Linked DNA regions of Bombyx mori. The protein of the gene in region 2 purifies or fractionates together with the protein of the main gene of each other region. This does not show direct contact. Links are inferred from orthologs where the notes say so. Each region holds a gene or a part of one and is shown on either strand. Other genes may lie near its edges.

What was found.
Region 1: the proteins of DNA-directed RNA polymerase II subunit RPB7 (region 2) and uncharacterized protein LOC101743276 purify together in Homo sapiens (affinity purification with mass spectrometry; 4 studies listed by BioGRID and IntAct, counting the BioPlex papers as one, with this or other methods). This does not show direct contact. The link is inferred for Bombyx mori from reciprocal best matches to the Homo sapiens genes POLR2G and POLR2M.

Annotation. Positions count from the first base shown.
Region 1 is NC_085116.1:3,263,981-3,268,333, reverse strand, and holds uncharacterized protein LOC101743276, read left to right. Parts: upstream 1-1,513; 5' UTR 1,514-2,839; coding exon 2,840-3,775; 3' UTR 3,776-3,964; downstream 3,965-4,353.
Region 2 is NC_085131.1:4,005,934-4,010,037, forward strand, and holds the start of DNA-directed RNA polymerase II subunit RPB7, read left to right. Parts: upstream 1-1,206; 5' UTR 1,207-1,365; coding exon 1,366-1,377; intron 1,378-1,455; coding exon 1,456-1,565; intron 1,566-2,384; coding exon 2,385-2,544; intron 2,545-3,385; coding exon 3,386-3,436; intron 3,437-3,661; coding exon 3,662-3,799; intron 3,800-4,104. Other genes in the region: small GTP binding protein RAB8, read right to left, coding at 293-353, 587-710. UniProt on the Homo sapiens protein: Core component of RNA polymerase II (Pol II), a DNA-dependent RNA polymerase which synthesizes mRNA precursors and many functional non-coding RNAs using the four ribonucleoside triphosphates as substrates.

The DNA of each region.
Region 1 (4,353 bases), on a different chromosome or scaffold from region 2:
CACATATTGGCCATTGAAAAAATTGTCTGCTATGATTCTTTGTTGTCAAAGTGAAACATTCAGTATTTAACCAGATACAGCTTATGGATTCGACTGTCCCTTTCAAAATGCGAAACATGAAAATGTTAGACATTCTACCCATCAAACTGGATTTCCCGACTAAATTGAAAGAGTCACCATAGTACAACCAACCAGTGTATGCTCCCAGCATCCTGTACCTCAAAAAAGGATAAAGTAAGAAAACGTGTGCTATTTATGTTCATTTGGTCATTGTTTTCATTTCAATGATAAAATCATCTATATAGTTTGTGGTACAATTAATTTGAGTCAAATTATTATCATTTAAATGATCTTTATGATACTTTTAGTTTGTAATACTTGGGTACTTGTTAGATGAAAATCAGGTGATAAATGAAAATTTATGCAAAGTATGATTATTTATTTAGAATACCGTTCCTTCCATGTCTCTTGAGTGTTGAATCTGTTCCTTTAAATTACTTTACTCTTAGATCTCTTGGTGTTCTAGAATTCTTGGATCACATAACTTATACACTAATTATTCCTACATAATATTTTAACTAAGCATTGGACTTGCGCATTGTTTATAATTTGTATAATTTCACTCGTGTACATAATATTTTTCTAGATAATTATGATCTAAAATATGTGTTTACTCTATGATCTAAATTCTATGACATATTTAACCACAGATCAGTAAAACGTTTTTTTATTAAAGGGATTTTATGACCTGGTAACTAAGACCTTTAGATCATATCTTATTTTAATTTATATTCATATTTTTATGAAAAATGGTATTATGGAGTGAAATGAAATGAAATGAAGATGATTAATTTGAGACATTAATCAACTGGGATAAAATTAAATGAGATGATATGAGATGAGATATAATCTATGATATATAATATTGGTGGTCATTTACCTTCATTTACTGAGATTTTTTCAGTGGACTTTTTGGAGGATCCCGAGAAGTTACGTCCAGCGGCTTTGTTTCATTTTCCCACATCTGTGCACTTTCACAGATATTAAACAGTTAATAAATCACCGTTATCTTATACCTTCAAACGAGCAATTCTTGTATATATATATATATATATGTATAATCTGAAACTCGGAAACGGCTCCAACGATTTTCATAAAATTTAGTATACAGGGGATTTCGGGGGCGATAAATCGATCTAGCTACGATTTATTTTCAGAAAATTTTGTTTTATTCGTGTTTACAATAATCAACTTTCCCGACATCTATTGGCGAATAATAATACTATTTAAAGACACAACAAGATGGCGTCATCAAAAAAAAAACGAGCAAAGCTCGGTCATCATCTAGTTACACATTTAAACGTGAAGAAATACCAAATAGACAAAATTATACAACTTCACCCCTCGCGTTCCTGCCAAAAAGTCCTCAGTAAAACGTCTTAAATAGCAAGCATAGATAAGACATCAATAAGAAGCAACAACAACTTAGCAAGGCACAGACTACTCACTTTTTATTGTAAGGTAAGCCTGCCGTTTAAATGCCCCCCGAAGCATACACACGAGTGTACGCCCGCGACTCTTTCGCTACTCGCCGTCATTCCTTTTCGAACTTGTTTGTGGGACCCTTTGGAGTATTCATTACCTGATGCTCCAACTGCTGGGCAACACAAAAAAATGTAGTATCTATGCCACTTCACTTATTTTTCATTATGGAAATTGGATTTTTGCGACACTCTTTGAAACCCAAGGTTTTGGATGTGGCAGCCCTAAACCTCACACAAAATGTTTGGCAGAATTGATTTTACTTAATTGATTTAAAGTAAAGATATTTTAAATGCGGAAGGTCATTTTGGAGATCAAACTCAATAGATGCAAATTTCAAAGCAGCAAAGAAGTATTCCGTGTATAAGCTCTATTTCCTTTCATTATCATAGAGGACGATGTCAAGGCACAACCTAATGAGCTTCTCGCCGGATCTTATCAGTGGGTCGCGATCCCGAGATCCGGTAGTAGATTCTGTGAAGCACTGTTTTTGCTAGGGTCATTGATAGCAAACTCTCTTAGTTTAATACCCGTAAGCTCACCTACCCGCCATAGCGTAATTGGAATAGCTCCATAGCGAATAGGTAGGGCCCGCAGAGTCTATCGAGAAACTTGTTGTTCAGGGTAGAGTAAATGGTAAGAGATCTCGTGGACAAATCTCCATGCGCTGGACTGATCAGGTGAAAGACTTTACTAAAACCCCACTTAACGAGTGCGCACGCACTCGTTAAGTGGGGTTTGCAAATTATGGAAAACATCTGTCAAGGCTTTAATAAACAACAATTTCACATGACCACGACTGCTTTGCCAAGAGCAACCGACTATAATGATGATGAGGGGGAAAAGGATTTAATTTAAGTTCATGGCTTTTCGAATTCTTACACAAATCTCACGAAATATACTTTCTCTCCATTTTACCAACGTTATATCTATTTAATTTTGTTGCATTCTACTATACTTCATTTCACTTCACTTCTTGTTTAAATCACAATATGAGTTCGAATTCACAATTTAAGGTTGAATAGGCTATGTTTCCTTTGTCCTAGTTGACAAAATAACAAAAAAGGGCAAAAGTGACAAACAAACAGCTAGTGTTTTCTATTTCCACAAAAAGTTAACCAAATCCAGTATTTTTAGTATTTTTACCTATATAAATCTTTTAGATTCCATGTGAATGTAGTAGTAGTTGTTGCAAATGTAAGTACAAAAAAAGAATTAGTCAATGTTACAGTAATAACAGGAATTAAGATCGTTAAAAAATGTGAATGCGTTAAAACTAATTGAAAATATATAAATAATGAACAAGATAAATAAAAGGATACCTGGTATCTTGCCGCCGCCGCCAAAAACAGAAATCGATGGAAAAATCACCGATCTATCGTTAAAAACTATTCCTGAGTTGCTTGAACTACGAGATAGACAAATTAAGTTATTAAACAATAAAAGTTTTATATCTAAACTAAGTGACAAAGGTGCTAAAATACAGATTTTGTACGATAAAATCTTATCCGAATTAAAAGCGAAGCAAGAGGAAGAAGATGCGTGTCGGATGTTCGAAAATATGAAACTGAATGGAATTGACAAACAATCCGTACAAGAATTAGAATGGACAGGTACAATTAAACAATCCACAGATTTAGATTCAGATGACGACAGTGACCCTGAAGATGTCCTAAAAATCTTGACTCAGAACTCATTCCATGAGAAAAAAATTAAGATTTTAGAACCTGAAAAACTTTCGATAACCCCTGAAGATCTAATCAAGATAGATGAGATCCCCCACGTAAGATATATAGTTAACAAAACGGAACACAACACCAAAGCCAAAGTAACGAGACAGTTTAAGCCACATAAGACCACAAACACAGATGTCCACAACCCAGAAAAGGAAATACAAAGAGGAAAGAACAAATGTAAAAAATGGGAGGTGACTGCTGCCACACCTCCTCCTACAATACATGGGCCAGCAAAAATATTATCCATAGAAGACTCATTAAAACTCCAGCAAGAACATAACTTACGTCTTAAAGAGGTGAATGCATTACATGCAGCTGAGAGGCTGGCTTCAATGGCTGGAGTCAAAATGAGTCAGTTGCCATTGGATTTATCAAGGTTTGGTTCATACCGAGACACCAATAGTGATGATTATGAGTCTGATGGTGAGGGCAGTGACAAAGAAGTTCATGATGAGGAGCCTGAGAAAGGAGGTGTCATATTTACCATAATGAAATAATATACATACTAAGTTCTAGAACCAAGTTCTCTCATGAGAGCTTAGTTAGACTTACGACTTTCATGGCTCATGCCAGTCCTCATTTTTAAGGGATCAAAATAGCAGGAAAACGACTGGATTGTAATTTAACTGTGTACTTACTGATTTAATGTATAATAATAACAATAATAATAAATTTCTGTCTATTTATGTATACTTCATTATTATCCCTTACAATTCATTACTCTGAATCCGATATAAGCTTAAAGCGTAAAGTATGTAATTATTTGATTAAATAAAATTTCGCAACCTCAAAAAACCGTTCTGCTTACAGTAAACACAGTCGGTAGTCTGGCGCTCCGTTTACAACGGGATTTTTGAACGGAACTTGGCGCCAGATTCTACCTAACCTGTGGATAAAGCTTATCAGATTGATGTAAATGCAAGTCGCTCCCTAACATATACACTTATGGTATTTTAGATATACACTTCACCAGAGCTTGATAGACCCAATATGAGGGGAAAATGTGTATAAAGACAACAATCACGATATATATAAAATACACTTTAAGAGTTGTATTGTTAAATTTCAAAAAGGA
Region 2 (4,104 bases):
AAATAAGTACTAATTTAAAAAATGGTAATTTACAATTTAAATTTTGTATTATTGTAATACAATAATCCAGTGATTCAAATTAATTACCAAAAAAAATAATGTAAGAAGATTAAATATGCAATGTGAGACAAACTATAATGTACATTAATTCATTGATTATTACTTACATACTGATAATGAACATGTAAAATATAATTTTAATACATAAATCTACAGTAAAAATAACAATGAAACAACTTTTAAATTTCTTTAATCCAAATATGATAATCTTTTGTTAAAGAATAAAACTCACCATATTTGTAATTTAACTTTTTTGCCATCAAGGTCTATTGTTCGAATTTTAAAGTCGATACCTGGAAACAAAAACCCATTGAAACTGGAGGGACTAATTAAAATTAGTGAGTATGATGTCATTAATTCTAGTGTCCTTTAAATTAATAAGGGTTTCGTTATAAAGGCCGCGCCCTGATCATCATGTATTTAAAAAATGAAACAATGAATAGGAAACAAAAAACACTTCCATTACCTACAATAAGTGTACAAAAAAATTCTTCACTGACACTTTTGATCTGAAGAAACCACTTACCAATTGTGGATATAAAGGAGATGTTAAATGCATCTTCAGAAAATCTAAATAGTATTGATGTTTTTCCCACTCCCGAATCTCCGATTAGAAGTAATTTGAATAAACAATCGTAAGTTTTTGCCATTTTTACAACAATCTGATTACGCTAATACACATAGCCTGCCATTCATTTGGCATTTTTCAATCTCCACTAGTGATGTGAAACGAATTTTAATTTTCTATAGTAAATTAGTCACATGAGATACTGATTTTTTTAATAATAGTTAAATTGAAAAAATAAACATTTATTTACATAAATTATGTAAAAAATATTTGTAACTTAAATTTATTTATATGAACTATAAATAAGGAAGTTTGTTTATGATTATAAGTAATTGATATTTGATTTTTTTTTAATTTTTTGTGCTAGGTGAAAAGTGTTGATTATGTGTTTATTTATGATTTGGTATTTTTAGCAACTACTTCTAATTTATGACTAAACGAAAATATCGAGAGGTCGTTGCTCGTTTGTTAATAATGCAATCCACGTTACTAGTACAACAATAACAAAATTTGCATTTAGCCGTTTAAGTTACATTCCTTCTGCCTGTCCAATGCTCAAATTAAAGGAAAAATAATGACATTGACTGTTGACATGACTCAATTTTCAATTTGGTTTAAAATTTAAAATTAGCATGCAGTGTTGAGAGTTGATGCTGTTTATGTATATTACTAAAAAATAACAATAAAACAAATCTAATTGAATGGAATACTAATCGTAATTTGTCCACCGCTGAAAAATGTTCTACCACGTATGATATTTTATTTTCCTGTTTCACTCTGTTTAAAATGAACGCCAATGCATTCGTTTTGTAAATAAAACTTTTCAGATTTCATTGGAGCACGAAATTTTGTTACATCCGAAATATTTCGGTCCACAACTATTGGAGACAGTCAAACAGAAGCTATACACTGATGTGGAAGGCACCTGTACTGGCAAGTAAGTCGGTATTAATTGGCCGTAGGCCCACTGAGTTATGTTCGAACAAGACCTAGCGACTTGATTGCGATGTGAGTAACGCTTCGCTAATTTCCACATTATATTTATTTCTGTAACTATGGAGTGTATAAAATACTTTTCATCTTTAATATCGGAAATAAATACTGGAATGAACTGTCTTCCCTGCAGCTGCTGCTCAGAAGTCGCACTCTACTCACAAGTGTTACATGAATAGAAAATAAGGTCTGAAATAGGCTTAAACAGGAACTGACAGTAACTTTTGCTTTTTATATTTATTATTCTAGATCTGGGATGCCCAAACTATTTCCATAGCCCATAGCAAAATCACTTTTACAAAACCCTTTCTCTAGTTTTTTTCCTATTAATACAAAACACTTACCAATTTTAAAATTTGCTAAACTGATCCCGTTAGCAATCATCTAAGCAATAAAAAAAAAAAACATTAGGAAACCTGGCTCTAGATAAATTATTTCATGATTTATGGAACAATTGTTAAAAAGTGGTTATCTGAGCCCATAACAATTATAATATCAATGTATAATTATTATAGCAACATCAATGTATAATATCACTTAATGATAAATTGAGTTGATATCTCAATGGCATTCCAAACTCCTTTACCACACTTCAAACTGGAATGAAGGATTGCTTTGTGGCAAAAATAAACTAGAGGGTGGTTGGTATTCACTGAAAAAAGCTCAAATATTGCCTTACTGCCATTACATATTTAACTAACTGTTCTCTGAATTTATTGTGCAATTTGTGAACAAAATACAGTGAAAAGCAAAACATTTTTAGATATGGATTTGTCATCGCGGTAACTCAAATAGACAATATCGGAGCTGGTCTCATACAACATGGACAAGGGTTTGTCATGTACCCTGTTAAATACAAAGCTGTTGTGTTCAGACCATTCAAAGGAGAAGTTTTAGATGGTATTGTCACACAAGTAAACAAGGTGACTTAAACTATTAAAATTATGCTTAATGTTATTTCGGGTGAGTTGGAATCTTTTCTGAAGTAAGATAGTAGAACTGGTAATTCCTAACAAAGTGAAATTAATCACAAATAGAAACTTACAAAATAACAAATATTATAAGTTAGTTTTATTATATTGCGGTTATATTTTCAGAAAAAGTTTCCTTCACCCTGTAATTAATCTAGAGTATGCTGTTTTAGTACCACCATTTATAAATCAACAGTTTACTTTAGTAACACCTACCCCCTATTTATACGGTACCTATTATACTTGATTTTGGCTTTTTCACATTATGTAAATTTATGAAAATGTATACATTGGTTGCATATTAACATTATTGGGTCTCATTAATTTGGCAACACTGATGCAATAATGTACTAGTCTCTGTATTGTGGTATGTCACATGCATTAAGTGAATTATATACCTTTAATATGTAACCAAACAGAAAGTAGATCATGAAAAAGCAATTGAAAAAAATATTAGTGCTGTAGTAGTAGCGGAAGTTTATTTTACATGCTTTCAAATAGCACAAATAAAGATTTTATTTTACACTGTTTTGTAACTGATATATCTTCAGTATAAATAGGGGATAGGTGTATACTAAAATGTCTCTTTTATTAAGTAAAATAAATCAAATTTAATTTAAAGAGCCACTTACAAGGTTTTCCGCCCATAATTTTTTTAATACCGTTGTTGTCAGGCCCTCTTACAACTTATCTGATGGCAAGTAGTAACTATCGTTCATGTCAGTAATGCCAAGGGCACAGCCACATCAAGTCGTAATTAAAATTGTAAATTTACTATGTTTAATGTTTTTAGGTTGGCATGTTTGCGCAAATAGGACCTCTCAAATGTTTTATATCCCATCATGTGAGTATTCAGAGTGAATTATATAATTAAGCTTAAATTATTTTAAAATTATCAAGAGTATTCCTTCCTAAAAATATTGAGCCCCTCAGCCCATCTACCAATTACACCCGTTTGGTGAAAGATCTTCCCTTTGTCTTATACTACCAAATAATATTTTATAACCCAGAAAGGTTTACAAATTTTTGTACCATAAAATGAAATTATAAAAATATTTTTATTTTACAGTCAATACCAGACTATATGGAGTTCTGTCCTAATGTAAATCCTCCATGTTATAAGAGTAAACAAGAGGATAGCGTAATACAAGAAGAGGATGTGATCCGATTAAAGATTGTTGGTACGAGGGTTGACGCGAGTGGCATTGTAAGACATTGTTTTAATAATTATGTTTAAAATATCCATGATGGAATATTTGTATATAAGTATATAGTAGAAAACTAATCAGTCCTCCATTTACTTTCAACATAAGTTGGTCGTGCAATAAAAAAATAATAAAATAGTCACAATTGCTATTAAGTCATGTGTTATATTGTAAGGTGTCACAGATTCTGCTTTGAAAAAAAAAACAATCTTTTTGTTTTTATTACTGACATTTATTTTTGAAAAGGTGCAAAAAAAGTTTGAAATGAAATTTATTTAATTCAAAAGCTAAACATAATGTCGAATTC